Oryctolagus cuniculus: one gene and its partners. The protein of the gene in region 2 purifies or fractionates together with the protein of the main gene of each other region. This does not show direct contact. Links are inferred from orthologs where the notes say so. Each region holds a gene or a part of one and is shown on either strand. Other genes may lie near its edges. The genes, in order: BCL7A, SMARCE1, ARID2, CHD4, HDAC1, BCL7B and BCL7C.

Region 1 (3,946 bases), on a different chromosome or scaffold from region 2:
AGTGACCTGTCCAGTGAGGACGATGGGACTTCTGGTGCCAGTGCTCGTATTTGAGGCTCTGGGAGGATGGAATCCAGGTTTTCTGACCAGTAGCCAGGGCTCAGCGCTGCAGAAAAACTGAAAACGCCGAACGTACCAAGTGCCCGGGCACAGCGGCCATGTTTACCTTTCCTGTTTAGAGCAGGTGCAGCCAGAACCGAGTCCCACAGAGCGTCTGCGCACGAAGCGGGTGTGGGTCGGCACAGAGCATCTGCGCACGAAGGGGGTGTGGGTCGGCACAGGTAGAGGACGGGCACAGCCGGAGGTGAGGAGCGGGGAGCAGGCTCCGCCTTCCGCTTGTTGGTCTGCGGCTCCAGTGGGGTCACCTGTTACCTGGTTACCAGGCTGCACTCAGGCAGCCAACTCGTTACACATTAGGGCTTGCTGTCACTAATTAACACCGCCCCAGGCTGGAGCCCAGCGGCTGAGCTGCTTACACGCGCACACGCCTGTCTTGAGTAGGAGAGAAGTTCAGATTTTCTTAGGGAAGATCAGGAGCCTGCATTTTTTTTTAAGCCCCTGAATTCACAAGAGGATGCTTTTGTGTAACCAGCACTCCCCTAGACTGCTTAAAATAAGACCAGATTCATCAGGAAGGACGCGTGGCTGCCTGTGCTTCATCAGGTGGGGAGCCGAGCAGCCCGGCCTCCGTCTACCCGTCTGTAAAGTGAATGTGTGAGCATTCCCGGTGGTTTTTTGGGAAGGTCCGATGGAGTTACTGTAGATGCTCGCGCCTGGTGCCTGCTGGGCTGTCTGGCTTTCTCGCTCACTTTTACAAAAATTGCTTTGTTCCCAGGTGCAGCATGGCCCAGAAAGTCAGCGTCAGATTGCGGTGTTATTTTTGAAATCTTGACTTGGCTCTGCAGTCTGAAGTGACCCTGTGTACTGCAGGACATGGGGTGGGGTCCCCTGCACCCCAGCCCTGCCAGCACCAATGCTGCTACCACGTTAGCTTTCCTCCCTCTCCTCCATTTATTATGAAAACTTGTGTAAAGAGTGGCAGAGAGAGAGAGTGGGACAGAGCCCCAGATGCCCACCACCTGGGTTTTCATGAAACAGGGCGCTCTGTTTGCCTCCTTTTTTCCTTTTAATGTGCTAAGGTTTTTCACAGGAGTGGAATTTACCTAGAAGAATCCATAGCTCTTGAGTGTGAAGTTCAGGGGGTTCTGACGGTTGTTTGCAACCTGTGCCTGAGGCGTTTTAAAGAAATTTCCCTGTATTATGATATTGAAGTCTGTCCCTAAACACTAAAACCTGCATTGCTAAAAAACACCATTCTGGGGTCACCACTGTGGCGTAGCCGGTTAAGCTGCCACCTGAGATGCTGGCATCCCATATGGGATCTGGCTGCTCTAATTCCAATCCAGCTCCCTGCGAATGTGCCTGGGAAAGCAGCAGAAGTTGGCGCAAGTCCTTGGGCCTCTGCAGTCATATGGGAGACCCAGGTGGAGTTTCAGGCTCCAGGCTTTGGCCTGGCCCAGCCCTGGCAGTTGCGGCCATTTGGGGGCTGTACTAGTGGAAGCAAGATCTCCCTCTCTAACTCTACCTTTCAAATAAATAAATAAATAAATCTTCACAAGGAAACTAAAAAATGGCCACCCACTGCGCCAGCATCACCTGGAACTGACAATAATTCCTAAATAGCTGCTGAAATCCAGACCCTATTCAAATTCCCCAGTTGTTCCAACACGTGTCACGGCTGGCACGGTCAGAGCAGGGTCCTCTCCGTCTCTGGTTTCCTTCTCGGGCAGCAGCCCACCCTGCTGCTCCCCTGCCTCCTGCGGCGTGGAAGAGGTGGCCACGCGGCTGCCCACCCCGGACATCAGCCCTGGGGCTCCGTGGAACCACGTTCCCGCGCCAGGTGCCCGGGGTCTTGGCCCAGCATCCCCGGAAGCGTTTGAACGTGTTAGGCCAGCGAAGGCAGGCGGCTGCCGTCGACGCAGCCTCTCCTAAGGAGGACCCATGGGGCGGTCCCCGTGGGGTCAGCTGTCCTGCGGGGCTCCCGGCCTCCGGCCACCGGGAGCCGCCGCAGGGTCTCATCCTGTGGCTTTGTTCCCCTCACACAGACGACAACAGCAACCAGAGCTCCATTGCGGACGCCTCCCCCATCAAGCAGGAGAACAGCAGCAACTCGAGCCCGGCCCCAGAGCCCAGCTCCGCCGTGCCGGGGGACGGCCCCGAAGCCAAGGCGGACGAGGCGCAAGCCGACGGGAAGGAGCATCCGGGGACTGAAGGTAGGGGCGTGGCGGGGCTCGGGGCACCGCCTCCAGTTGGCGCGCGGCCAATCAGGGGGCGTATGGGGAAGGGGGCCGCCCCGGAAGGTGACAGAGGGGACATGGCGCCTGTGTTCTCATGGAGCGTGGAAACAGCGCGCGCTGTGGCCGGCCTTGCGGAGTAGCAGTTTTGTTTTGTACTTTTAAGATTTATTTATTTATTTATTTATTTTGAAAGAGAGAGAGGTCTTGCATCCGCTGGTTCACTCCCCAAATGGCCGCAGCGGCCAGCGCTGGGCCCGGCCGAAGTGTAGCCAGGAACTCCGCCCTGGTCTCCCACAGGGTGCAGGGGCCAAGCTCCTGGACCGTCTTCCGCCGCTTTCCCAAGCCTAGCAGGGAGCTGGATCGGAAGTGGAGCAGCCCGCACTGGAGCTGGCGCCCATGTGGGGTGCGGCCCCGTGACTCCTGCCCCGCCGCAGCGCCGGCCCCGCGGTGTTTCTTTAGACTTGCTTTGTGAAGCACACTTGACCCACTTATGACGTTGCCTGATCCCTGAGGGGACTTGAATTCCCAGTCACTGCTATGACAGATGCAGAGAAAAAAGAAAGGAGCCCGGGGCTCTCCATGCAGACCAAGTGGAGGAAATGCTGTCTGCCTGGGCTTGGGGGCAGAGCAGGTGTTAAGAAGGGGATGGCGTCCCGGGCAGAAGTGTGACAGGTGCAAGGAGTGTGGGGAGAGGAGGCTGCAGACACCAGGGACTGAAAGCCTCCCTGGTCTGCAGGGCCAGCGATCGCCCCTCTGGCTGGCCTGGGGAAAGTGTGGCCCGCACCCCGGGCCCTGCCTAGGGGTGAACGGGTTGTGGCCCCGCGGCAGGGGTCTCTGGCTGTCAAGGTGGCCGCCCCTTCCCAAACCTGTGAGGAGGGTTTGTACTGCTGGGTTGGCTCCTGGGCAGGTGTGTGTGTGTTGGGGGGGGTCTTGTCCCCCACCCCAGGCCCCCCGAGACCTCTCCCCCTGCCTCAGAGGAGAGAGCCCAAGTACCCAGAATCGTGTAAATGAGAATAAACCAGCTCTTGTGGAAGTGGTCGCCATGGAGCCCCCTTAGCAGCCTCTCCCAATTCACTAGCTCATTCAGGCGGCCCCACGGATGGTCGTGGGGCGTTTCCCACACACAGGGTCCCTCGGGGAGCCTCACCCACGTCTCTGTGTCTTTGCCCAGGTCAGGGTGGAGCTGCAGAGTCAGGGCCTGTGGCTCATCCTCCAGGGAGTCCTCGGGGAGAACAGCTTCACCCTGGGGCAGGGGCGCTCAGCCCTGGCTCTGCCCATCGGGTCGAGTCTGCATGGGGCCCGTGCTGTGCGTCGCAGGCTGTTGGGCAGTGTCCCTGGTCGCTGGAAGACCCCTTACCCCTGGGTGTGACCCCAACATTTTTCTAGACATTGCTCCGTCTCTGAAAGGATTGTAGCCGGGTGGGAACCAGTATCCTAACGGCTTTGCCTCAGCCTTCAGCGTACATCCAGCCCAGGGTCCCCACAGCCACGGCACGCCCACCAGCACCTTCCTGGGGGGTGGGAGTTGTGGTTACACCCAGGCTGGTGTCGGCTGGCTGTGAGGGCTTGGACAGGCAGTGTCACCTCTCACACCTTCCTGTTTATTTATGAAGTGGGCAAGTGGCCCCTGTCCGGCCGCTGTGAGGGTG
Region 2 (4,723 bases):
AGCAAAGTGAGTCATTCGCTTCTTTATTCCATAAATATTAGCACCCAAATGTACCACACACGGCCACAGATGTCAGAAGTCCCCACACTGAAGAAGTATTCACGCTGTGGGAAGAAACAGACAGCAAACAAAATAAGTACAGAAAATGAACGGTATGTTAGGGGGTGCCAGGTGCTATTGAGAATAAAAGGCACAGAGAGTGGGGGCAGAGGAGGGGTGGGAACTTCAAGTGGGTCGGAGAGACCTAGGAAGGTGACCGTGGAGTAGCACCCAGGTGAGAAAGCGTGCCAGCATCTGCTCCACTCAGAGCCCCTCCATCTGTGTGCCATCCCACCCCCACCCCTTGGCAGGGTGCATGGTCCCTGGGTCCCCGGCAGCCAACACTGCAGCTTTAATTCAGAGGCCCCGCCCAGAACCCCAAAGGCAGAGGTCAAACCAGAACAGGTCCTGGGACCCCCGCCCAGGCCGTCCCCCGTGTCTTCCTCCCATCCTTTAATGCTTTCATATTGGAAAAGCAATTCCACAGCCGCCCCTCAAGCCCCTCTCCCTTCAGGCGCTCCCCCATTAGGCTCCTGAATTGCACTCTCTCCTATTCGCAGGGGAAGCCCCGGTATCAGCTGTCCCCAGCTCTGCAGGGACGCCCCCATAGGCCCCTGTTCCTGCTGGCTCGTCCCAGAGGGGCGCTAAGGGCGGCTAAGAATAAGGCCCACCCCGTGCCCAAGTGAGTACCATTCGGGGGGTGTCCATTTGTTCATTCTCCCACCAGGGGCCTACGACAGTACCCAAGGGTGTTCACAGCCCAGGAAGGGGCCACTCACTCCAGACGGTGAGCAAAGAGCCCCAACGACTTGGGGGGTAAGGGCCCTGGCTGGAGCAGGCCAGAGGGCTGCCGCGGTGCCCATGTCACGGGCATCGAGCTGGGCTCCAGACCCTCAGCGGTGACCGGCACTGCAAAGCTGACACACCTTCCTAAGGGCCAGATGGAAAGGCCTGGGGGTACAAGGGAAGGATTGTTGGGGGGGGGGGGGGGGGCACTGCAAGAGGGCCTCCCGAGGGCACGGCTGAGCTGCATCCCAAACGGCACAGGAGTCTACGCAGCCGGCGAAGGCGGATCTGGGGCAGAGCCCAGCAGCAGGCACCCTCGGCGCTGCAAGGCCACACCAGGGCCCTCGCTCGGAAACCTGTGGCCAGCCAAAGCCCGTGCTGCTTCCCTCCAGGCCGAGTCCTCCGCGCCCGCGTCGTCCGCTCTGAGAAGCACGGGGAACACTCGTCCTGCCGCCCAGCGACGCGAGGGGAAGCGGGAGACCCGGCGCCGGGGGTCCCGCGGGGGCGGCCGCGGCCGGAGCCCGAGGCGCGCGCGGCCTCCCCCTGCAGCGGCTCCTGCGTCTCCCGGCCTCACGCGCGGAAGCCGAGGCCGCGGGCCTCGCCACCACGCCCTCGGGCAGGGCTCGGCACCTCCCGCCGCCGCCGCCGCTCGGACCCCTCACCGCCGCGGGAACCGGGCCTATCGCGATCGGGCCACCTCCGCCTTCCTCGCCGTGACGAATCGGCGCCCGACTGGGAAAGCATCCAAATCCAAGGAGCTTTGTGGAACGTACGGGGCCTGGAAAAAAATCCTTGGCTGTACTAAGCGTCGCCGCGTCCTCGGGAGCGGGTTTATTTTTTTTCCGAAGACAGTCGGTGGGGCCTGAGAAGAAATTGAGAAAAAGTGTGGAAAGTGCGAGCGCGGAAGCTCCGGACGTGAGGGGCGGGGCGTGCGCGGGACAAAGGGAAGCGAAGCCGGAGCTGCGGGCGCTTTTTCTGCCCGCGGGTGAGTGTTTCCTAGTGGGTCCGACCTGGTCTGGAGGGTGGCAGGTCGCGGTGCCTCCGTTCGGCGGGACCCCGGGTCCCCGGGGGTTGCTGGGGGTCAGGCTTGGCTGCGGGGCCGGAGCCGAGAGCCGGTGAGGCCTCCTTGAGGCCTAGCGGAGCGCGCGTGGGGAGGGAGTCCTCACGGGGGGCCCTCCTCAGGGGCAGGATGGCCCCTTCCGGCCACCCCGAACCCGGTCAGGGCGCCCACGCATACCCCGGTTTGGGGGAATTACTGGTAAAGTGCATCCCCCGCGGCAGGCGTGGAGGAAGCGACCTCCGAGGCAGCCCTGAGGGGCGAGGCGAGCCCAGGGCCCTCAGCCCCGGAAGGGACCCCCGGCCCGGGGCCCTGGCCCCGAGGACCCGCGGGGCCGGCTTGGCGTGAGCGGACTTGGCCTGGGTGCGGACCCCAGCTCCTGCCGCTTCCTAGCGGCGTGGTTTCGAAGAGTTACTTTGAAGTCTGCAAGACTCCCCTTTCTGATCTGTAAAATGGGACAGCAGGGTTGCTCTCCTAAGCCTGTCCTGCCTTATTCCACAAATGCTTGCCGAGCGTCTGTGTAGGGCCAGGCCGCAGGGAGGGCGTCAGGGGGTGCACAGGGGCCCTGGCCCGCTCTGAGAGCCTGCGTTCCGCCGGGGGCGAGCAGTGTCTGTGAGTGTATCTTAGCGTGAAGCGCCCAGTGCAGGGAGCTGCTGGCTGTCCCGTCAGGGCTCCACACCGCAAGGCCTCCTGGATGCTGACAGCTCGCCGGCTGAGCAGCAAGGAAATTTGCAACAAAGTCAGAGGTTCCCGCCGGGCTTTAAAGGCAGAGGGGGAAAGCACCCTGGGCTCCGACCTGCACCCTGGTGCTGCAGGTAGCTCCTGCTTATCTCCCGTGAGGCTGGATGAAGGCGCTCCAGGATAGGAGTTTGTCTTCTTTCCAAAACACGGATTTTTTTTTTAAACCCCTCGGGACTGTTGATGTGAAGGACAAGCTCTGGCCCTACTGTGAGCAGGGAACCCTAGGACAACGTCTATCAGGAATCGCACTAGAGACTGGGATACGGTGACGAGAGCAGCACCCAGTCCAGCCATATTGGCAGATGTTTTGAAAAGCTACAGTAAGCAGTATCCTAGCTCTGCATGGGAGTGCAGATGAGGGAACAGTGAATTCAATGTATTTCCAGCGAGTCCGAAGCTATCTGCCGCTTTAAAAGAATGTGAAACGCATTTAGTATACCTGTTACCTTTTCCGCTGCCTTCGGGAATACAGAGCTGCCCTGTTCGAACAGAGGTTGCTAGACCAGAAGCCAGGTGGAACTGACCGGGCGCTGGCAGCATCCAGCAGGCCTTGTTGGTGTGGACAGGTGGCACAGCACAGTGTGTGACCACTGCCTTCCCAATTACCAAGTGTTCACCGTGCGAGAGGTGGGGCAGCTTAGGACAGAACCTGAGAGTATATTTCTGATACTTAAATATCCCAGGAACTTACTCGAGTCATTTAATTCTGATGACCCAGATGACCTACAAGGACTAGTAAAATACGCGCAAGGCTTGAGTACTGAGAGATAATGTAGTTTTACTCAAAAGTACCAATCAAACTGCCCTCTTTAGGGAAACATTCTCATGCTTGCTGAGTTTTGATTCTCTTTTTTTTTCCTTTTTTTCCTTTTTTTTATTTTAGTGTCTCAGATTCATTCTTAAGGAACTGAGAACTTAATCTTCCAAAATGTCAAGTAAGTTTCAATTTTTATATTTATCAATCTATGTTAATAAGAGACTAATGCCCTAGCAAGTGGGAATTCCAAAATACTCTCATTTTTTTCTTCAAAACAGGACCATTGGTAGTTTTGTTGCATAGTATTATATCTCAGTTGTTTACAAGAAGTTATTTATTTTCTTTCAAACAGAAAGACCATCTTATGCCCCACCTCCCACCCCAGCTCCTGCAACAGTAAGTTTTAATTTTCTTGTTAATGTAATAGCCGAGTCTGGCCTTGATACAAAAACCCAGATGTCTTCCAGTGACAGTCACTCAATCATCACAGTAACAGGATGAAAATTCAGCTAAAAAACAGACTTCCTTCTAAATAAAATAACTCTTTGCCTCTGATCTTGAACCAGCCCCAACATTTAAAGAAACATACTATGAAATTCCTACCTCCTATGCTGAATTTACTTGTTTTATTTTTTTTTTTTCTTAATGGGAAATAGTTAACAAGTTTAACACTTCTTTCTCAGAGTCTTTAAGTTGATATTGAGTGAGTGCTCATTCTGGCTTTTTTTTTTTTAAACCTAACCTTCAGCTGGTTACATTTTTCTCTCCTTTCTTGTCTCTATATATAAAATTTCCATATTAAATCAAACAAAGCTCCTACTTCTATAACTACACTCATTGTAAATCTTTATTTTCAAGCTGTTCAAGTGAGGATTTCATTATCTGTGGGTCAGATTTTGCTATGAAATTTGACTCCACGCTGTAATTAGATTTGATTGGCTTGGGAATTGAGAATGTTTCAAAGTATCTGCCTGATAGCGGTGAACCGGCTTCTTCACCCAGCAAGCTCTGACCCAGCTTGGTCAGCATGTAAAATAGTTGCCCAACCCATGAAACAGATTCCACAGCAACTGTTAGGCCTCCCTGAAATGGCTTCCTTGTGGAGTTTTTTAGGGGGGAGGGGGTTGTCTGTGTTTTAAAAAACACTGTTAACATGACCATATTCTGCAGAAGCACTTCTGTAATAGCTGGTAGCCCTTCCTTCACACCCTACTACCTAAATTGCAGGCCAGGCTACTTTGCACTGCTAATTAGGTTCTTAGGTGATTTTGTTTTCTCCACTGGATTTTTTTTAACCCTCAGATGTGTGTTTTAGTTACATTTATCAACAGATTGTTTTTCCT
Region 3 (3,005 bases), on a different chromosome or scaffold from region 2:
TTATGCCGTTCATGTTCTTATAACATGAGCTCAATCAGACTTGCTCCACCCTGCCAATCCTGTCTGCTTTTCACAACGTGTGTGAGCTCAGTGTCACTCCTTCTTCGCAAGGTCACACACTCACTTCTGTAATCTCTCATCTCTGTGACAAAGCACGTGAGTGTTGCGATTCGGGGACCGGGAACATCTGTGGTTCTGCATTTTTAGAAAGCAGCTGCTGTAATGGAGTAAGTCAAGCTAGATGGAGTCACTTTTCATCCTGTGAAACTCGGCCCGTGGTGTGAACTTTGATTTTATTCCTCTCCAGCTGTTCTCTGTCACATGAATCTTCCGAAAGCATGAATGAAGACAGGGATGCCGTGCAGGCTTCCTTAGATGGGAAGGCAGCACGGGGAAGACGCTGAGGGGCCCTGGCCACTTCCTTTATGCTGCACTGATGTGGCCTGGGTGTGCAGCTAAGCAGTTTCTGTTCTAGCTCCTAAACTCGTAAAACTTTGGATCAGGAATCTTCACTGTTACCTTGAGACTGATGACTTTCTGTATTTCTTTCCAGATTACTAAAGAGACATGAAAACAACCTGTCAGTACTTGCTATAAGTAACATGGAAGCTTCCTCCACCCTTGCCAAATGCCTTTATGAACTGAACTTCACAGTTCAGAGCAAAGAACAAGAACAAGACTCAGAAATGCTGCAGTGAAACAGAATTCCACTTCGAGTGGGGACTGCAAGTCAGATACATTTCACACACTGTTACTGAAGAAAGCACCAAGTCTTAATGGAACAGAGACCATGGAATGAATTATTTTATCTCCTCCCTTGATGTTGAGAGGAAGTTCGTATTCTGATCTTTGAGCGAATCCCTTTTGTTCTCTGTTTGAAAAAAATCTAAAAAGAAAAAAACTGCTGTGGGATTGTCAATCAGCTCATCTGCAGGATGCCTCTCAGACCTGAAGTCCTGATGGGAACCGGTATGATCAGAATTCAGTACCATCCACATTGGAGTAGACATGGGATCTTGTAAAATCTTCACGAGCAGATGAAATAGAAGCATTAAATATTTTTATCTATATCCAAAAAGGAGCACATTTTTATATTTACTAAACAGTTTAAGCTGGTTTGAATAATTAAAAAGTTTCAGCACACTTATACCCCCTGGTCTCAGAGGGGGCCACCAATATCTAGCTATGGATTGTGTGTTTTGTTTAGAAATCAGTAGCTTGGTTTTCTTACTTGAGCCAATATATTTTCACTTATTTATTATCATAAAAATTTACCAGTCTGAATAGATCTTGTAAATATTTGTGAATAGAAGGAACACCTTTCATGCCGCTGCAGCCACTGGAGATACATTCTGTGGTGTCCTAGAAGCATTACCGATAGGTTCTCACGTTTTCTAGACTTCTGTCAATTGTAAGTAATTGTGATATATTCTGCGCAGTGGACGAATGTTCTTCAATCTTTGTAAATACTTCTGCAAGGTACTGATGCTGTAAAGTCAGACAGTTTTGTGGGACTGTGATTTTTTTTTCTTTTTGTATTATACACCTTGTAGAACTCATTTTGCTGGCTGAAAAGAGTATGGAGTAATATATCTCATGTCATTTTTGTAGAAGAAAAACTCTTTGAAGGTATTTTTTGGTTTTTCCCTAACATGTATCCACTGTAAGCGTTTGTCATGTTTAAGCTCAGAGCTTGGACAGAAATTTTTGTATTTGTAAATTGGTTTGAATACATGGGATTTTATACAGGCGCTCTCCTGTGCTGTAAATGCATTCTGTGCAGTACACTTTCTCCACTCCTTTTCTATCTTCCTAGAGGTGGGGTTTATTGTCTAATTCTCCATTCTTAATACTGTACCACATTCCTGCTCAGATACTGCTCACTTCCCCAAATTGTCTTTCTCCCTCCCAGCGTGAAATGTACCCATTTATAACTGCCTATTGCCTGTTCTATTAGCATCCAAAAATGTGGAAGGCCTCCCAACCACGATTTCTGCTGTGTCCTTAGGATGTGCAGTTAAAAAAAATATAGACCTAACAGTTTCTGTTATAGAATGGCTTTATTTACTTTGGTGACTGTTTATAGTTTTTAAATAAAAGACTGAACATTTTCTTGAGTCCTTCATTTCTGAGTATGCTAAGCTATTTTTTAAAAACCTATAAAGAATCCTAAGTTGAGCTGAAGGCGAGGCCCAAACGGTCACCTACCTATTGTTTCTGTTGAGTGTTAGGGAGCAGAGGAGGGAGGTCCTCTACATGACACATTTGCATGAAATACATGGGAGATGGCCCTGAGGTTGATTTCTGTGTCCTGTAATGCAAAGCAAACCCAAATAATAGCCTGAGTGGTGCCGTTAGTGCTGAATATGCGCTTTTTATAAATTATTGGATACTGCACACTTGCCTGAAATCTTATTGATACTGTGTTTCTTCAGAACCACAGTATAAAACAAATCTTCAAACTGAGTATGGGGGCAGATTCTTTGAGTGAAAGGACATGCAAATTTTTAAATTTTGGATTCGATTGATATCGAATACTCTGATTTCTCCCTGAAGGGGGTTCCTGGCACTGCACCCTGCCAGTTCTAAAATGATCGCTTTGAGAAACCTCACGCAACATCAGTCAGGATTATCTCCCGGCACTGTGAGGCTTGCACTGACATCAGGTGGGGGGTGGGGTGGGGGGGCTTCCTAGTCACTTACTATCCAAAAATTCTTGATTTTTCTGAAGTAATTTTGTGTCCTATCAATGTTTGTCTCTTTATTTCCAAAATAAGAAACTGCAACCGTAGTTAAATCAGCAAAGAGCAAAGGCTCCTCCAAGCTTAGACAAAATGATTTTCATAGTCACCATCTTCCACCTCACTGAACTGCACGCTGTAGCTCCAGCTTTTGTGCTGTAATGTGTAAATTACATCTGTAGTCCCTTGAAGCGTTGGTCTCAGCAGAGAACTTTCTAAATGTATTTTGACCGAATGAAACCGATTTACGGCTTCCCTCTCGAG
Region 4 (3,946 bases), on a different chromosome or scaffold from region 2:
TCATCGGTTACTTCCAGGGTGTGCATTAGCAGGACGCTGGGAGCTGGAGCAGAGCCAAGACTTGAACCCAGGCAGTCTGAGAAGGGATGTGGGCAGCCCAGAGCAGCACCTTAACCTTTATGCAACAACCTGATGTAATGCTTGTGAATGCTGGTCACTTGTTTTGTAGAATATCTCTAATTTGGTTTTGTCTGATGGCTTCTCTTGATTAGATTAAGGCAAGAGGGCTGCGAAAGTGATGCTGTGTTTGGGGGATGGACACCATGTTCTTACGTCTCATTATTGGATGACAGTTGGTTAAGGTGCTGTTTAACAAGTTCCTCTTCTTTCCGTTGCAAGTGATAAGTGTCTTGAGATGGTAGAGACTATGCTTATACTCAGTTTCTTGAACTTGCACATGGATTTCAGTGTCCACTGGTGGACCTTGCTTGCAACCATTGTTCCTGTGGTATTTGACTAATGAAGTTTTGTGTTTCTGACTTCCTTCTACTTTCATTAATTGAAATTTGGACACGTTTCTCATCCTTTTGTTGTTGTTGTTGTTCTTTTTTTTAGCACCGGGTGCTCAGCAGTTCTGCTTCTTGCTTTCCACTCGAGCCGGGGGCCTTGGAATCAACCTGGCCACTGCAGACACAGTTATCATCTATGACTCTGACTGGAACCCTCATAATGATATCCAGGTGAGCAGAGGCCACAGCAGTGGCATGCATTAACTTGCTGGAAATGCTGGATTCTTTGTGAGGACTCCACAGCTGGAATTAGTTGTTTAAGTGAGAAATACCAGATTCTTTTTATGTCATTTACGCTACTGTGAGCTAGAGACTTGGGTTAGCTATGGCCCTATTTTGGGCAACATGATAATAGAGGGCAGTGTCTGGGGGCAGGAGTGTGAAAGGAAGTTTCACATGAAGGCAAATGTGGCAGCAGGAAAATAGGTCTCTGGCTTTGTTTCCTGCTCATCTCCAGGCTTTCAGCCGCGCGCACCGCATTGGACAAAATAAGAAGGTGATGATCTACCGATTTGTGACCCGAGCGTCAGTGGAGGAGCGCATCACGCAGGTGGCAAAGAAGAAGATGATGCTGACGCATCTTGTGGTGCGGCCTGGGCTGGGCTCCAAGACTGGATCCATGTCCAAGCAGGAGCTTGATGATATCCTCAAATTTGGCACTGAGGAACTGTTTAAGGACGAAGCCACAGATGGAGGTGAGCTGGTCAGACGAACTTGAATTTCAGCCTCTAAGGGATGGGAGTGTCTGATGCCGAGGGTCTCCCATGGGACCTGCTTTTTCCACGGCAGCTGCTGAAGCTGACTTGGGGGTTACGGCCCTGATTCTTACAGGAGGAGACAACAAAGAAGGAGAAGATAGCAGTGTTATCCACTATGATGATAAGGCCATTGAGCGACTGCTGGACCGCAACCAGGATGAGACGGAAGACACAGAGTTGCAGGGCATGAATGAATATCTGAGCTCATTCAAAGTGGCCCAGTATGTGGTGCGGGAAGAAGAGATGGGGGTGAGTACGAGTCCAGGGCAGTGCCGGGCTTGGTGACTGGTCTGGAAGTTGGACTGAGTCCAGGACGGTACTCGAGATGAGGAAAATACCTACATGCAAATTCACGTGTGAATTGGTATACCTTTTCCTTTGAAAACAGAGACTTTATGTTAAAGGAAGTTTTGTATCAGTGAAGTGAAGTAGCTCAAGAACGTCTGTGAGGTGGAGCATGGTGTCAGCCCGTGTGCAAAAGCGAGGTTCTCAGCATCTGGGAGAGCCAGCTGGGAGAGCCCACCGCGTGCTGTGGTTGGTGGCAGGAGGTGCTGCCAGCGCTTCTGAGGGCGCTGGTGTCAGGCACCACTCAGGAACGAGGGGCTGCGCAGCCACGTCCTGGGTTGGGCCTGGAAATGCATCATTTGTGCCTTGGGGTGGGGACAGGTGTGCTGCAGCAGTATCTGTGGCTTGGCTCTCAGGAAATTGACAGCCAGATTTCACACTCAGAACAGTTACATTGGCTCTTCTCCAGAATCTCATTTTTTTTTTTTTTTTTAAGATTTTATTTATTTGAGAGGCAGAGTTAGAGACCGATTTGCGTTCACTGGTTCACTCCCCAAATGACAGCAATGGCTGGAGTTGGGCCCATCAGGAGCTAGAGCCAGGAGGTTCTTCTGTGTCTCCCACTTGGGTACAGGGGCCCAAGCAGTTGGGCCATCTCTGCTTTCCCAGGGCAAAGTAGAGAGCTGGATCAGAAGAGGAGCAGCCAGGACTAGAACCGGTGCCCATATGGGATGCTGACACTTCAGGCAGAGGCTTAACCTACTGTGCCACAGTGCCAACCCCAGAATTTCATTTTTTCTTAAGCATTCTATTACTCTGTTTTTTTAAAAAAAGTGTTTCAAATACTACCTCAAGTCTCTTTGGAACAAAAGGAAGAGGTAAGATATATACCTAGGTAATATCTTATTGTGGGTTTTTTATTTTATTTTGATTTGCTAGTTTTTAAAGAGTTGTTTATTTGAAAGAGAGGGAGAGACAGAGCTTCTGTCCACTGGTTCATTCCCCAAATGGTTGCATTTGCTGGGTCCGGAGCCAGGAACTCCGTCTTGGGTCTCCCGCGTGGGTGGCAGGGGCTCAGATACTTGGGCCATCTGCTGCTGCTTTTCCAGGTTCATTAGCAGGAAGCTGGATTGGAAGCAGAGCAGCCAGGACTTAAACTGGTGCTGTGGTGCTCTGATAAAGGATGCTGGTGTCACGCGCAGCAGATGAACCTGCTGGTCCCCAGCATGACAGAGGGAGACAGAGATCTTCCTTAGCTAATTTATTCCCCAAATGGCTGCAACAGCCAGATCTGGGCCAAGTAAAAGCCAGATGCCAGGAATCTCATCTTGGTCTCTCACATGGGTGGCAGGGTCCAAGCACTGCTGCCATCTTCCGCTGCCTTTTTAGGCACATTACAGGCAACCTGGATTGAAAGCAGAGCAAGAGAGATTGAAACCAGCACTCCTATATGGGATGCTGGCATCATAGGTGATGCGTTAACCTGCTCTGCCGCAGTGTTCTCCAGTGTTTGTTTATCTGAAAGGCAGAGAGACAGAGACAGACAGACAGAGCCCTCATCATTCCCAAATGTCTGCAACAGTCAGGGTTGGACCTGTCTGAAGCCAGGAGCCCATCACTCAATCCACATCTCCCCCGTTGGGGGAGATCTTGATGTGTTGAGCTGTCACCTGCTGCCTCCCAGGGACTGGATTAGCAGGAAGCTGCATGTGAAGCGGAGGAGCCAGCACTCAAACCAGGTGCTGTGATACTGTGCCTGGGTGCCCAAGCTTCCCTACCCAGTGCCTCAGACACTACCGCTCCCCTTATTTGTTTGAAAGAGTAGAATCTCTCTCTTTTTTTTTTTTTTAAACTTCTTTTCCATTTCTTGGTCTTTTTTAGTAAAAACCAAGAAACAATGCACAGGTGGTGATCTTTTCCCTCCATAAATGATAGAGTATTACAGTGAAGAATGAGGGGCTGCCGTTGTGGTGCAGCAGGATAAGCGGCCCCTTGCAATACCGCCATCCCACAGCAGAGTGCCAGCTGAGTCCTGGCTGCACTGTTTCTGATTCAGCTCCTTTTAATGTGCTGGGAGGCAGCAGAAGATGATCCAAGTACTTGTGTCCTGACCACTGGTGTGGGAGACCCATATGGAGATCTTGGCTCCTGGTTTCAGCCTGGTCTGGTTGTGGGCACTGGTGAGTGAACCAGCAGATGGCTAATCTCTTCTCTCTCCCTCTGTCTCTCCCTTTGCCTCTCAAATAAATAAATATTTAAAATATTTATTGAAAAATAAAGTTTGCTTTCTCCTCTGGTCTCCGTTAAACCATTGAACTTGGGGTTCTTTGAATTGGCAGAAAGAGGTATTTGGTTATCTCTGACATCTTTTCTCATCCTTTGGACCCAGAAACA
Region 5 (3,946 bases), on a different chromosome or scaffold from region 2:
CCTGACTGGCTGCTATTCTCCAGTAGCTAGGAATGAACCCTTCATGCTATCTTGAGCCTGTGGGCTCTAGAAGAAAATGGGCTAGCCTGATCTTTAAGTGCTGACCTCATCAGAGACCCCAGTTTGTTGTGTTTTTCTTTTAGAGTTACATTTCTTTTAGGTAGAGAGATAATCTTGGGCTCAAGAAATAACCCAGAAAGACAGATTGCTGTAAAAATTCCTGGGTTCTCCTGGGAGTATGTGTCTAACGGTCATCAGAACTCTCCCTGTTCTTCAGGTGATGTTGGGAATTACTACTATGGACAAGGCCATCCAATGAAGCCTCACCGGATCCGCATGACTCACAACTTGCTGCTCAACTATGGTCTCTACCGGAAAATGGAAATCTATGTGAGTTACTTACTGCGAGTGTTCCCCTCTGTTACCTCATCAGCTCTGGTCCCCCAAATGCCATTTACTATCTGATTTTCTAAACCATGCACTCATTAAGCAAATGTGGGCATTGGCCTATCAGTTAAGATGCTTGTGTTCCACTTCGGAGCACTTGTATTCAATTCCCAGCTGCAGGAGACCCCCATATAAATAAATCATACTGCAGTGTGTAAGAGCAACAGTTTAGAAAATGTGCAAGATGCAGAGATAATGAGGAAGGAAGGAGGAAAGGGGGCTTGAATTGATTCTAGGAAGTGATATATGAGAAATTTTAAAGATTGAATAGAATTTAGCCTGGAGGGGCTGGTGTTGTGTAGTGGGTAAAGCCACTCCCTGCCAAGCTGGCATCCCATATGGGTGCTGGTTCATGTCTTGGCTGCTCTACTTGTTTGTTTATTTATTTTTAAGATTTACTTATTTATTTGAAAGGTAGAGTTACAGAGACAGAGAGAGACAGAGACAGAGAGAGACAGAGAGAGGTCTTCTGTCTTTTGGATCACTCCCAAAATGGCTGCAATGGCTGGAGCTGGGCCAATCTGAAGCCAGAAGCCTGGAGCTTCTTCTGGGTCTCCCATGTGGTTTCAAGGGCCCAAGCACTTGGGTCTATCTTCTACTGCTTTCCAGGCCATAGCAGACAGATGGATTGAAAATGGAGCAGCCGGGACTTGAACCAGCATCCCATATGGATGCTGGCACTGCAGGCGGCAGCTTTACCTGCTATGCCACGGTGCCGGCCCCTGCTCCACTTCTGACCCAGCTCCCTGCTAATGTCCTGAGAAAAGCAGCTAAACATGGCCCAAGTGCTTGAGTCCCTGCCATCAAGTAGGAGACCCAGATGAAGCTCCTGGCTCCTGGCTTCAGCCTGGCCCAGCCCTGGCCATTGCAGCCATCTGGGGGGTGAACCAGCAGATGGAAGAGCTCTGACTTTGAAATAAATAAATAAATCTTACAAAAAATTATCCTTGAGTTCAGGAGGGGACTGGTAGGGGGAAGAATATATGCAGTATATGCATATGCATATTATATATGCAAAAAGGCTGAGGTATTTGAGGAAAAATCCGTTTTTTTTTTTTTTTTTTTTGTTTTGTTTTTTTTGACAGGCAGAGTGGACAGTGAGAGAGAGAGACAGAGAGAAAGGTCTTCCTTTGCCGTTGGTTCACCCTCCAATGGCCGCCGCGGCCAGCGCGATGTGGCCGGCGCACCGTGCTGATCCGATGGCAGGAGCCAGGAGCCAGGTGCTTTTCCTGGTCTCCCATGGGGTGCAGGGCCCAAGCACCTGGGCCATCCTCCACTGCACTCCCGGGCCACAGCAGAGGGCTGGCCTGGAAGAGGGGCAACCGGGACAGAATCCGGCGCCCCAACCGGGACTAGAACCCGGTGTGCCGGCGCCGCTAGGCGGAGGATTAGCCTAGTGAGCCGCGGCGCCGGCCGAAAAATCCGTTTTTATGTGTAGGGATACAATGTGAATTCACAGACGTGAGGCAGGGCGTAGAGCTGGAGAGGTCAGCCAGCGTTGGATGTGCTGTGCTAAACCACTCTTGTAGGCCAGGGTCGGAAATCCAGTGGCTAAAAAAGGAGTGACTGGGGATCGTGTTGGACAAGTTGCCAAGTCTGTGGTTACGAGAGAGTGTAGGCTTCTGTCTAACCACCAGTCTCAGCTCCACTTGATTCTACCTGGTCTTCCAGATTTTAAGAAGCTGGAAATCCAAATTAGTATGCAAAACCTCCTCGGTTTAAAATGTTGGCACAGGGTTTTTGTTTTAAATGTTTGTATATAAAACACATCAATACACGTGCGGACCAAATGTGGTTCGGTGGTTCCCAATTTAATCTGTTCTGGAGGTGGTGGGGGAAAAGTGAAAGGTTTTAAATAAAAGATATAAGAATAGATAGGCATGTATTTTACAAGCAGGTAGGCCACTTAGGAGCCTGTTGCTAGAGTCCAAGTGAGAAAATAAAGAGGGGCTGGGGGCCCATGTTGCTTTATGGCGTGGTGCCTGCTGTTAAAGGCTGTACTGACAGTTTGAGTAACCTAGCAACAGCAGCATCCTTCTCACCATTCCAGAGACTGAAAGGAGATGAGTCTTCTGTCCCAGATGGCTTTGTCGTGTCTCTGGAGCTGGTGGAGCCAACTGGGGAAGGTAGACAGGGCGAGCAGACCTTGGGACCACAGTGCTTTATCAGGTGTGAAGAACAGGTGGGGAAGAAAGCATACAAGGCAGCAGAGGTTTTCAGGAACTCTGGGGAGCCGCCTAGCTCTTTCTATCAAGGAGAAAAACTCCCCAGGAGCTTCCCAATACACTCCCCCTTACCTCCCATCATCTCATTCCTGAGACCACTCACCAGTGTAGACGGATAGAATTACCAGAGCTGGCCTAGGCTAATCATGATTCTATTCCTAGGGCTGGGTACATTTTGTTACCAAGGAAGAAGGAACAGGATGGCTCTTTGGGAAGCAACCAGTAGTAACTTCCTTATGGGAGGTGAATTTCCCTGTGGTGTTCTTATAAACTTTTTTTTTTTTTTAAGATTTATTCATTTATTTGAAAGACAGAAAGGCAGAGTTATGGACAGAGAGAGGGAGAGACAGAGAGAGAGAGAGATCTTCTATCCATTGGTTTACCTCCGAATGGCTGCAACAGCGTAGCTAAGCCAGTCTGAAGCCAGGAGCCAAGAGCTTCTTCCTGGTCTCCCACATGGGTGCAGGGGCCCAAACACTTGGGCTACCCATCCTGCTTTCCCAAGCGCATTAGCTGGGAGCTGGATCAGAAGTGGATTGAGGCCGGCGCTGCGGCTCACTAGGCTAATCCTCCACCTGCGGCACCAGTACCCTGGGTTCTGTCCTCGGTTGCTCCTCTTCCAGTCCAGCTCTCTGCTGTGGCCCAGGAGTGCAGGGGAGGATGGCCCAAGTGCTTGGGCCCTGCACCCACATGGGAGACCAGGAAGAAGCACCTGGCTCCTGGCTTTGGATCGGCGCAGCACGCCGGCCATAACGGCCATTTGGGGAGTAACCAACAGAAGGAAGACCTTTCTCTTTGTCTCTCTCTCACTGTCTAACTGCCTGTCAAAAAAAAAAAAAAAAAAAAAGTGGATTGAACTGGCGCCCATATGGGATGACGGCTCCACAGACAGCAGCTTTACCCACTGTGCCATGGTGCCAGCCCCTATCATAAACTTTTAAAGGAAAAACCTAGTATCATCTCTCTTCCCTAATGCTAGACCTGTTGTCTTTCTCCCCCCCCCCTTTTTTTTTTATGATTTACTTATTTATTTGAAAGTCAGAGTTACAAAGAGGCAGAGACAGAGAAAGAGGTCTTCCATCCGCTGGTTCACTCCCCAGATGGCTGCAACAATGGCCAGAGCTGGGCCTATCTGAAGCCAGGAGCCAGGAGCTTCTTCTTCAGGATCTCCAACATGGGTGCAGGGGCCCAAGGACTTGGGTCATCCTCTGCTGATTTCCCAGGCCGTAGCAGAGAGCCGGAATGGAAGTGGAGCAGCCGGGACTTGAACTGGC
Region 6 (4,726 bases), on a different chromosome or scaffold from region 2:
CTCATCTCCCAGAAACCGTTTATGGATCAAACCGTGACCGGAGGCCGTCGGCGGGTTTCAGCACGGCGGCTGAGACGCCTGCAGCCCCATCAGCGCACCTCGGCCAGTCCCTGGCTCTGGCTGGCACCTATGCAGACCCTGGCTGTGGTAACGGGCACTGCCACCCATGTGGGGGACCAGACTGCGTTCAGCTCCCGGTTTCTGCCCGGCCCAGGCCTGGCCACTGTGGGCATTTGGGTTGTGAACCAGTGGGCAGGAGTCCATTCTCTAACAAGTCTTAACACTAAAAAAACAAAATAGGCAGGGCCAGCACTGTGGCATAATGGGTAAAGCTGCTGCCTGCAGTGCCGGCATCCCATATGGGCACCAGTTCAAGTCCTGGCTGCTCCACTTCCGATCCAGCTCTCTGCTATGGCCTGGGAAAGCAGTAGAAGACAGCCCAAGTGCTTGGGCCCCTGCACCTGTGTGGGAGACCTGAAGGAAGCTCCTGGCTCCGGATCATCACAGCACCAGCCATTGCATGCATCTGGGCCACCTGGGGAGTGAATAAGCAGATGGAAGACCTCTCTCTCTCTCTCTCTCTCTGCCTCTCTGTAACTCAGCCTTTCAAATAAATAAAATAAATCTTAAAAAAAAAAAAAAAAAAAGAAAGAAAGAACAGAAAGCTCAGAAAGAATCGTTTTAAAAAAATAAAATAAGGCACTCAAAACAGCAATTCTAAGCTCTCTGTAGGCACAGGCCCCTTCTTGCATGCTCCTTATTAAATGATGTCACATGTGTGCCTCTGATAATGTTTTTGTCTCATCAGCTTATTTACCAAATTAGAATCTCAGTAAAGATAACAAACTATGTAGCACATCTTCAAAAATCCCTATTATTCCATTACCACTAAACATATAGACAAGCAGAAATAAACTTAGGGCAAATTTTTTTAATTAAAGCAAAAATTTAAAAAGAAGGTTCTGGTCATTTTAGTGTTAATCTCTTAAGTCACTCTGGTCATGGACTGGCTGCCCTGTTCTGCTTCCATATAAAGATTCCTCCAAGGGAGAAAGGACCACGGGGGACACACACAGACAGACAGACACAGACACACACACACACACACACTCTCTCTGCTGGGTGGGAGCGGCAGGCGTGGACCCGGCCTTGGGATCCCTTGCTGTTCTGCCTTACCAAGACTGCCTAAGGAGACAGCTAATCTGAAGAAATGTTCAGATTTCAACCTTCAAGTTCAAAGCTCTGGAGAAATCCTCATCACTCACAAAACAAGCAACGGCTCAAGACCAGGCCAAGGGCTTGCTCAAGACCACGAGGGCCTGACAACATGAGCTAGACCCAGCGAAAGGAAATCAGGCCCGTCCTAAACTCAACACAGAGCAACACGCTCGACCTGCTCTGAAGGGCTGCCAGCCAGTGTGTGTGCAGGTGGGAGCTGGCTTTCCAAGAAGTTGCCTCTCGGGGCTGGCGCTGTGGCGTAGAGGGTAAAGCCCCAGCCTGCAGCACTGGCATCCCGTATGGGCGCCGGTTCGAGTCCCGGCTGCTCCAATTCTGAGCCAGCTCTCTGCTGTGGTCTGGGAAAGCAGTGGAAGATGGCCCAAGTGCTTGGACCCCGGAACCCGCGTGGGAGACCTGGAAGAAGCTCCTGGCTTCAGATCGGCGCAGCTCCGGCTGTTGCGGCCAATTGGGGAGTGAACCAGGGATGGAAGACCTCTCTCTCTCTCTAACTCTGCCCATCAAATAATGTAATTAATTTTAAAAAAAGAAAGAAGTTACTTCTCTAAGACTGCTTAGTACTTGCTGTCAGCCCGAGCAAGAACCAAATGCAGGGAGCTGATGTCTCGCGGACCTGAACCGCTTTGCAAAGTTTCAAGGCCAAATCTGAAGTTTATACTAAATAAACACATAAAAGTCACTACTGTCACAGCTGCTATGAAGCAAATAATGCCATCAGGAAATGCAGAGAGGTGACGATGGACTGGAAACAACGAGCTAAAAAAGGCTCAGGGGGCACCGGTTCCCGACCGGTCCGCTCCGTTTCCTCATCTGCTGACCACGTATTCAGTATCGAAGACCCTCGTCTAGGAAGGCAGGGAACGAGACGCACGGCCCCTTCCCTCCCAGGGCCCGCATTCCAGCCGCAAGCGGACCTGGACAACTCAGTCAGCGCTAGCCGTCCCAGCGGACACTTCTGGCTTTCGGCGCGGTGACCGGAAGCCAACGGAGAGCGAGCGAGAAGGCCCTTCCGGCCTGCGGGGAGGGGAACGCATAGCCAGGCCCACACGGGAGCCCCCGGGCTCCTACCTACTGCTGGCTAGCTAGAGGAACAGGCTCCGGGAGCTTCCGGAGCTTCACCTGCGACTTCAGGGGGCGTTAGGGGAAAGAGGCAGGTTTCCTTTCCGATGACCACCACGCCTGCTCCCGCGGCAGGTGGAATTACCGGGAGAACTCTCAGATTTCGACTGTGTTATGTGGAGCGCTCAGCCGGGCCGACCGAAGCCACTCGGGGGATGGCTGGCTCCTAATCAGGGGGAGGACAGCACGGGGAGACAGCAGCAGCGGCACCAGCCCGGGACTCTGAGCCAGGACCCGCAGGCCCAGCGCCGGCCCGAAGTCCGCAGCCATCCCCGGGCCGCGCGCGACCGCGGCAGTGGGCGGGGCAGCCAGCCGGGCGGCCCGCTGATTGGCCCCGGTCGGCGCTGCCCTCTGACCTCACGCCGACGCCGGCGCGCCCTCCGCCCGCCCTCTCCCTCCCCCTCCCCCTCCGGAGCCGGCCGGCCGGCTCCCACCCAGCCTGCCGGACTGGCGCTCCTCGGGGCCTGGGCCCGCAACACACGCGCGCGCGCGCGCGCGGGCACCCTCGGCTCCCGCCCTCACCATTTCCGCACTTTCTCGATGGCCGCCATCACCTTCTTGATGTCGTCCTTGGCCCGGCTGCGGGTCTCGGCCCTGACCGACCGGCCCGACATGGCGGCGGCGGGAGCGGCGGGGGGCCGGGGCACTGCTCCCAAGACGCGCGGAGAATCGCGCGCGCCTCACACGCGCCGCCGCCACCGCCACCGCCACCGCCGCCGAAGCCGCAGCGTCACCGCGGCCGTCGCCCCCTCCGTGCGCGCGTGCGCGAGGAGGCGCGCGCACCCGCCCGCCCCTTGGGACGCGAGCCCTCAGCGCGCCTGCGCGCCCCGCCCCGGGCGGCCCTCCCGACCCCCGGGCATGGGTGCCCCGGGCCTGGGCGCGCCGAGCAGGCTGCACGTGCTGCGGGCAGGGCAAGGTGCGAGGCGCTGCCGGTACAGTGGGCGGGGTGTCCGCTTCTGCCCAGGGGCATTGAAGGTCCGCGCCCTTGCACTGCGTCCAGAGAAGCTGGGAGCCTGGCCCCGGTGGGACCTGAGTGTCCGCCCCCCCCCCCCCAGGACTCCCACTGGGCTCCAACGGCGGGGAGTTTGACACCTGTCTGGGGTGTGCCTGCTGTTCTTGGTGCTCACCCGAGGAACTGGCTGCTCGCTCTTCCAGAATCCGGTTCAAACTCCAGCCTCCCGGGGTACCCTAGGGTCCCCGTGTTCGTTCTTAGCACGATTCCACTGCCACCATTTAATGCAGCGGTCACTGGTTTCAGCGATGATGCCTTGGGAGGTTTTGGTTTTGTTTTTTCAAGATTTGAAAGACACAGAAAAGGGAGAGAGAGATCCTCCATTCACTGGTTCTCTTTCCCCCTAACGCCTGCAACTCCCAGGGCTGGGCCAGGTTGACTCCCAGAGCCGGGAACTCAATCCAGGTCTCCCGCGGTTGTGGCAGAGGCCCAAATTCTGAGCCATCCTCCCAGCTTGTGCATCCCAGGAGTGCCCCAGGCAGTCGGACCGGGGTGTGGGCATCTCAGGCAGCTTAGCCCGCTGCCCCGGAACACCACCCACGATGTGTTTTTGCTTTCAAAGAGCTTGGAGTTCAGTAGAACATGCAGACCAGGAAACAAGTATTTAAGATGCCATTTGATGAACACTAGGTTAAAAGAGACAACAAAGTGACCTAGAAAAAGTGCCCTTGAAGCTGATCTCTGCAAACAGGGCAGTCGCTAATGCCTCAAGGCCTCACTGCCTACAGACTCTCTAAACACTGCCCCCACCCACCTGCCAGCAGTCACGCATTCGTGCCCACGGGATGGAGGGAGGGTCCTGTGGCCGCAGCTCCTGGGGACGGCAGGAAGCAGTTCTCTAGGGAGATTTCTCTCTAGGGAGAGAAAGGCCCAGCGAACTTTGGACACAACAGAGCCTGGGACTGTGCCCATCTGACCAGTACCAAGACTTGACAAGCACACGCCCTTCTGTATTGGGGGGGGGGGGCACCAGGAACAGCTTCTGCTTGACTTTGGTGGTGGTGGGGGGGGAGAATGAGTTGAGAAATAATAGGATCACAAAGAGGACACATCTGTTTCTGAAACCCAGCTCATGCACAATAACCCAAGCACCGCTGGTGCACCTGCTGTTTGCCCTACAGCAGTGGACACATTGAGTGAGGCAGACACACTGCTTGCCCTTGGGGTGAAGATGAGGAAGGCAGCAGGGAAACCCAAGACAGAACAAGTGCCACGAGCGATGCTGGCTCTCGACAATTCCACAATTTGACTCACAGGGCCCCCAATTCAGGCCCCGAGTCCAACAGCCAACACCTGGAGGTGATGGCTGATTTGTCTCCCATCCATGACCAAGTCCCAGCCAGCCTCCTCCTGAGATTT
Region 7 (4,501 bases), on a different chromosome or scaffold from region 2:
CGACCCCAACAGTAAATTTTTATTGAGGTCTTTTACTACGTGCTGACCACTGTTCTAAGTGCATATTAAGTTACTGCCAAGTTTTAGTTGAGGAAGTAGATATAAGTGGCTTGTCCGAGTTCACGTAACGGGGTGTGGCTGACCCGGGATGTTTACCATGGCGGGCCAGCTCCTGAAATGCTGTCAAGGCTGTCTTCCCAATCCTGTAACCCCTCTGGACAGGGTCAGAGACAGGACAGCCACACACAGCTGCACCGATTTAGACACGATCAGATCTGCTGATAAAGGAGCCTTCGAATCAACCAATCATTTTCTGCAAGGAAACTTCTGAGTCAACTGCAAAACACAGATGGAGAAACGCACACATCCCCAGCGCCCAGCTTGATGAATTTTCAGAGGAACTTTGCCCAGGGAGCCCGGGCCACATTAGGAAACAGACATGATGGGTTCCCAGAAGCCCCTCTGGGACCCCTCCCAGTCCCGAAAGAGACACCCTCCCGGCTTCCTAATCCTGACATTTTCCTATCTGCTTTCGAACTTCATAGAAATAGAACCAGGTGGTGTATCTGGCTTAAACTCAAGATCTGCTGAGGGAGACTTGTCCCGTCGCTGGGTGTAGTGGGACAGCGGGCATTCTTGCCCGCTGGGTCTCTGTCTTGGGTATCAATAGCTGCAACCCACTTCCCAGTCTCCTCTTGGTAAGCCGTTTACGGTTCGGGGCTGTTAAGAACGCGGCTGTGAACATCCCAGCTCACGGCTCTTGGTGCTCCTGTCTAAGCATTTCTGCTGGGTGCTGACGTGCTGGATTCCTGGGCTGGTCTTTGTTCAGCTTCATGGGAAAGTCTCTACCAATTCCCACTCCCCCAGAAACAGAAGGGAGGCCGCGCGGCTCCGCTGGCCCGCCCACACTCGGTATGGCCTGTCGTTCTCGCTATAGCCATCCTGGGGGGTGGAGACTCACTCATGTGTGCAGCTGTGGCGCGTAATTGGCACTGGGCTGCTAGATCGTTGAATGAATGAATGGGTGAACGAATTAAGTTGGGCAGCGTAGAATCAGCCAGCCCGGCGAGGGAGGAGGGGGTGTCCGGGGACACACACACGGTGTCTCAGGTTCGCACACCTGCACCCAGACCCTCTCGTGCACCCGAGCGCCCACGTGGTCTGGACGCGCCGCCTCGGCGGAGCCGCGCGCGTCCAAGTCGCCGAGCCAGCGGGCCCCCAACTCTCGCTCGCTCTCGGCGGCGGACAGGGGGCGCTGCGCGTCCGGGCGCCCCCGAAGGGGCGGGCCCGGGGCGGGGCGGGGCTGGCCCGGCTTCCAGGCCTGGGCTCCGGCACCCGCGCCGCCCGGCCGCTCCGGGGACGGGCCGGGGCGGGGCGCGGCGGCAGGAAGCGGGGCGGGGACTCGCGGAGGCGTTGGGGAGCGAGGGAGGGCGCGGCCAACTCCCGGAGGGGACGGCGGGCGGCGAGAGCGGCGCCCCGGCCTGGCGCCGAGCCTGAGCCCGCCGGACGGGAGGCAGCCCCGCCGCGGGCTCGGCCCCGGCCCCAGCGCCGCCAGCATGGCCGGCCGGACCGTACGGGCTGAGACCCGGAGCCGGGCCAAGGATGACATCAAGAAGGTGATGGCGACCATCGAGAAAGTCCGGCGATGGTGAGCGCTGCCCCGCGGCCGGGGCCGGGACCCTGGCGGGGACCACCGCCCCCTCGCGCGCCTCCCCTCCCCTCGCCAGCTGCGCCCCCCAGGTGTTAGGTGCGCCCCCGGCCACCAGCTGTGCGCGGGATCCCCAGGGCTCCGTCTCCCTTCCCCGGGCTACCCCCGGAGGTCTACAAAGCGTGGTCCCCAGCCGTGCCTTCGCCGGGCGGGAGCCCTCGTCCGTGCCCCGCCCCCTGAAGCTCTGACACTCCTGCAAGTATGGCCCGGGCTCCGAGCTGCGTCCCCAGGGATGGCCCCCTCCCTCCGGAGGGGTTCTGCCCTAGCCATGGCCCCGAGGCGTGCCCGGGGCGCCCCCTCCCCATCTTTGCCCTGGGCTCGCTCTCTCCAACAGTGCCTCATTCGCAAAACCGCCCCAACCCTCGTGCACCTCCCCCACCTTGCAGATGTGGTACCTGGGGCAGAGGCGGAGGCGGCGGGTCAGGCGGGTGCGCGCGGGGGGGGGGGGCGCCTCTCCCCTCAGGCCTCTCTGACCCAGCACCCCACCCTCCCACAGGGAGAAGCGTTGGGTGACTGTGGGCGACACTTCCCTTCGCATCTTCAAGTGGGTGCCGGTGGTGGACCCCCAGGAGGAGGTGAGCAAGCCCACCCCCCACCCCCCAAGACCCTGCATCTGTGCAGTCTCAGCCCAGCTCCTCCCCACCCTGGCCTCCACCTCCAGTGCCTACCGCAGCCCAGATGTTCAGGATTACTCGGCTGCCCCTCCCCCTCCCCCTTTCCTGCTCCAGACCCCCCCCCTGCAAGGCTAACCCAGCACGCACAGCCTCTGTCACCTCTGGCTGGGCCTTGGGTTTCTCTGTGCCTCAGTTTCCCCGTTTGTCCCCGTGGGGCTCTGCCAGGGCTGCCGGGAAACGCTGGCTCTGATCCTCATCCCTGTCACCCCCAGGAGCGGCGGCGGGCAGGTGGCGGGGCAGAGCGATCCCGTGGCCGAGAGCGGCGAGGCAGGGGTGCCAGTCCCCGAGGGGGCGGCCCGCTCATCCTGCTAGATCTCAATGGTATGTGTGGGGGCCCAGGCATTGCCGGGGGCGGGGAGGGGTGGCTGTGGGACCTGGAGGAGGGGCCTGGGGGCCTCAGGCCGACCCTCTGGGCTCTTGTTTCTGCAGATGAGAACAGCAACCAGAGCTTCCACTCGGAAGGCTCCCTGCACAAGGGTACCGAGCCCAGCCCCGGGGGCACCCCACAGCCCAGCCGCCCTGTGTCACCCGCCGGAGCCCCGGAAGGGGTCCCTGAGGAGGCTCAGCCCCCACGGCTGGGCCAAGAGAGAGGTAGGATCAGGTGCCACCCAGAGCCCCCTTCTCTGCGCCCAGCAGCTCACCCCGCTACCTGCCCCTCTCCCATGAGCCCCGTGGAAACAGTGCCCGCCCCTGCCGTCTCCTCTGGCATTTCCCTATCAATTTCAGTTGCTGCTCACATACTGTCTTCCTGCCCCGTCTCGTGTCGGCTTCCTGGAGGTCGGGCCCTCCCCGATCTTGTTCACGGCATCCTCCAAGTCTAGTGGGACGCATAATAGGTGCTCAATCAATGTTTGTCGAGTGACTAAAAGACGAAGCTACTCACGGGCGCTATTGATTGAGCTCTTACTGCGTGCCAGGTGCCTTCCAAACACTCTGTTCTGTTTTATCTCATTGACTCGCCGCCTCGGAGGGGTTAGCCTGCCCTGCTTCCTGTTTGTAGCTGAGGAGGCAGATCAGCAAGGTTAAGTCGGTCGCCCGAGCTCACACAGCGTCTTCAGGTTGAGGCTCCTCAGCTCCTCTTTCTTCCAGTTCACCCCCGCCCAGCGTGGCCTCCCCAGGCCACAGCCTGGCTCCAGCCGCCCCGCAGCTGTAGCACAGCTCTGCCTGAAGCGGGGGGCCGGGTGGGGCTCATTTTCCTGCTGTGGCTCCTTCTGCCCCCTGAGCTGGACGCTGAGGGCCCCCTGTGCGCCGTGCCCTGCCCGCCACCAAAGCCACGGCTTGGGCCTAGGGGCTGAGCCTGGACACCTGTGCTAATAGAGAAGCAGTAACTGGCATTTCTGGCGCACGTGCTGGGTGCCAAACACTTTGAGCTGTACTACCTCGCCTCCTCCTCCCGAGAGTCATGCACCAACTGCGACCCCTGGCCCCATGTTATGGATGGCTAAGGAGAGGCCCCAAGAGACGGAAGGAGCCGGCCCAAGGCCAGGATCTGAAGGCGGCCGCTGAACTCCAGGACCTGTGCTCACTACCCTGCGTTCCCTTTGTCTGAAGTGTGTTTTTCTTGGTAAAGCTACACCGCTTTGCAGATCCTGCATAAGTGTTCCTGCTTCAGTCTGGGGCTGGGACTTCAGCCAGGTCCTGGGCCCCTTTCTCTCTGTCCAGCTGCCTGTGTGTGTGTGTGCGCGCGCGCACGTGCGTGCATTTCTCCCAGTCTGACCTCTGGGCACAGAGTGGCTGCTCAGGGAATGACTGTTCACTTGACATTCCAGATCCCGGGGGCATAACTGCAGGCAGCACGGACGAACCCCCCATGCTGACCAAGGAGGAGCCGGTTCCAGAGCTGCTGGAGGCTGAGGTGAGAGAGGCCGCAAGGCTGCACTCCCGGGTCTCGAGGGAACGTGGCACCGGCGCGGGTGCGGTCCGGGCGGGAGGTGTGGACCCAGCACCCAGCCAGGGCCTTAGCGGCCGGGTTCTTGGGGACAGAAAAGAAAAGGGTGTTTCAGAGACAGCTTCCTGAGGGCTGGATCAGGGCCGACCTCAGACCATGAAAAGCCTGAACCAAACAAACGAACAAACCAATAAGCAAACCGCGGTGACCCCCAGGCATTAAGGACAGCAA

Evidence for each region.
Region 1: the proteins of SMARCE1 (region 2) and BCL7A purify together in Homo sapiens (affinity purification with mass spectrometry; 4 studies listed by BioGRID and IntAct, counting the BioPlex papers as one, with this or other methods). This does not show direct contact. The link is inferred for Oryctolagus cuniculus from reciprocal best matches to the Homo sapiens genes SMARCE1 and BCL7A.
Region 3: the proteins of SMARCE1 (region 2) and ARID2 purify together in Homo sapiens (affinity purification with mass spectrometry; 7 studies listed by BioGRID and IntAct, counting the BioPlex papers as one, with this or other methods). This does not show direct contact. The link is inferred for Oryctolagus cuniculus from reciprocal best matches to the Homo sapiens genes SMARCE1 and ARID2.
Region 4: the proteins of SMARCE1 (region 2) and CHD4 purify together in Homo sapiens (affinity purification with western blotting; 3 studies listed by BioGRID, with this or other methods). This does not show direct contact. The link is inferred for Oryctolagus cuniculus from reciprocal best matches to the Homo sapiens genes SMARCE1 and CHD4.
Region 5: the proteins of SMARCE1 (region 2) and HDAC1 purify together in Homo sapiens (co-immunoprecipitation; 3 studies listed by BioGRID and IntAct, with this or other methods). This does not show direct contact. The link is inferred for Oryctolagus cuniculus from reciprocal best matches to the Homo sapiens genes SMARCE1 and HDAC1.
Region 6: the proteins of SMARCE1 (region 2) and BCL7B purify together in Homo sapiens (affinity purification with mass spectrometry; 3 studies listed by BioGRID and IntAct, counting the BioPlex papers as one, with this or other methods). This does not show direct contact. The link is inferred for Oryctolagus cuniculus from reciprocal best matches to the Homo sapiens genes SMARCE1 and BCL7B.
Region 7: the proteins of SMARCE1 (region 2) and BCL7C purify together in Homo sapiens (affinity purification with mass spectrometry; 5 studies listed by BioGRID and IntAct, counting the BioPlex papers as one, with this or other methods). This does not show direct contact. The link is inferred for Oryctolagus cuniculus from reciprocal best matches to the Homo sapiens genes SMARCE1 and BCL7C.

Annotation. Positions count from the first base shown.
Region 1 is NC_091452.1:7,050,806-7,054,751, reverse strand, and holds part of BCL7A (B-cell CLL/lymphoma 7 protein family member A), read left to right. Parts: intron 1-2,105; coding exon 2,106-2,273; intron 2,274-3,946.
Region 2 is NC_091448.1:21,885,621-21,890,343, forward strand, and holds the start of SMARCE1 (SWI/SNF-related matrix-associated actin-dependent regulator of chromatin subfamily E member 1), read left to right. Parts: upstream 1-1,671; 5' UTR 1,672-1,810; intron 1,811-3,506; 5' UTR 3,507-3,551; coding exon 3,552-3,558; intron 3,559-3,732; coding exon 3,733-3,776; intron 3,777-4,723. UniProt on the Homo sapiens protein: Involved in transcriptional activation and repression of select genes by chromatin remodeling (alteration of DNA-nucleosome topology).
Region 3 is NC_091440.1:136,658,228-136,661,232, forward strand, and holds the end of ARID2 (AT-rich interactive domain-containing protein 2), read left to right. Parts: intron 1-553; coding exon 554-698; 3' UTR 699-2,111; downstream 2,112-3,005. UniProt on the Homo sapiens protein: Involved in transcriptional activation and repression of select genes by chromatin remodeling (alteration of DNA-nucleosome topology). Required for the stability of the SWI/SNF chromatin remodeling complex SWI/SNF-B (PBAF).
Region 4 is NC_091440.1:102,918,536-102,922,481, forward strand, and holds part of CHD4 (chromodomain-helicase-DNA-binding protein 4), read left to right. Parts: intron 1-555; coding exon 556-680; intron 681-966; coding exon 967-1,204; intron 1,205-1,340; coding exon 1,341-1,516; intron 1,517-3,946. UniProt on the Homo sapiens protein: ATP-dependent chromatin-remodeling factor that binds and distorts nucleosomal DNA. Acts as a component of the histone deacetylase NuRD complex which participates in the remodeling of chromatin.
Region 5 is NC_091438.1:140,171,493-140,175,438, reverse strand, and holds part of HDAC1 (histone deacetylase 1), read left to right. Parts: intron 1-277; coding exon 278-390; intron 391-3,946. UniProt on the Homo sapiens protein: Histone deacetylase that catalyzes the deacetylation of lysine residues on the N-terminal part of the core histones (H2A, H2B, H3 and H4).
Region 6 is NC_091450.1:50,473,828-50,478,553, reverse strand, and holds the start of BCL7B (B-cell CLL/lymphoma 7 protein family member B), read right to left. Parts: upstream 3,119-4,726; 5' UTR 2,970-3,118; coding exon 2,878-2,969; intron 1-2,877. UniProt on the Homo sapiens protein: Positive regulator of apoptosis. Plays a role in the Wnt signaling pathway, negatively regulating the expression of Wnt signaling components CTNNB1 and HMGA1.
Region 7 is NC_091450.1:6,250,490-6,254,990, forward strand, and holds the start of BCL7C (B-cell CLL/lymphoma 7 protein family member C), read left to right. Parts: upstream 1-1,344; 5' UTR 1,345-1,556; coding exon 1,557-1,648; intron 1,649-2,204; coding exon 2,205-2,283; intron 2,284-2,594; coding exon 2,595-2,703; intron 2,704-2,811; coding exon 2,812-2,973; exon of another isoform or gene 2,974-3,199; intron 3,200-3,289; exon of another isoform or gene 3,290-4,151; coding exon 4,152-4,237; exon of another isoform or gene 4,238-4,501. UniProt on the Homo sapiens protein: May play an anti-apoptotic role.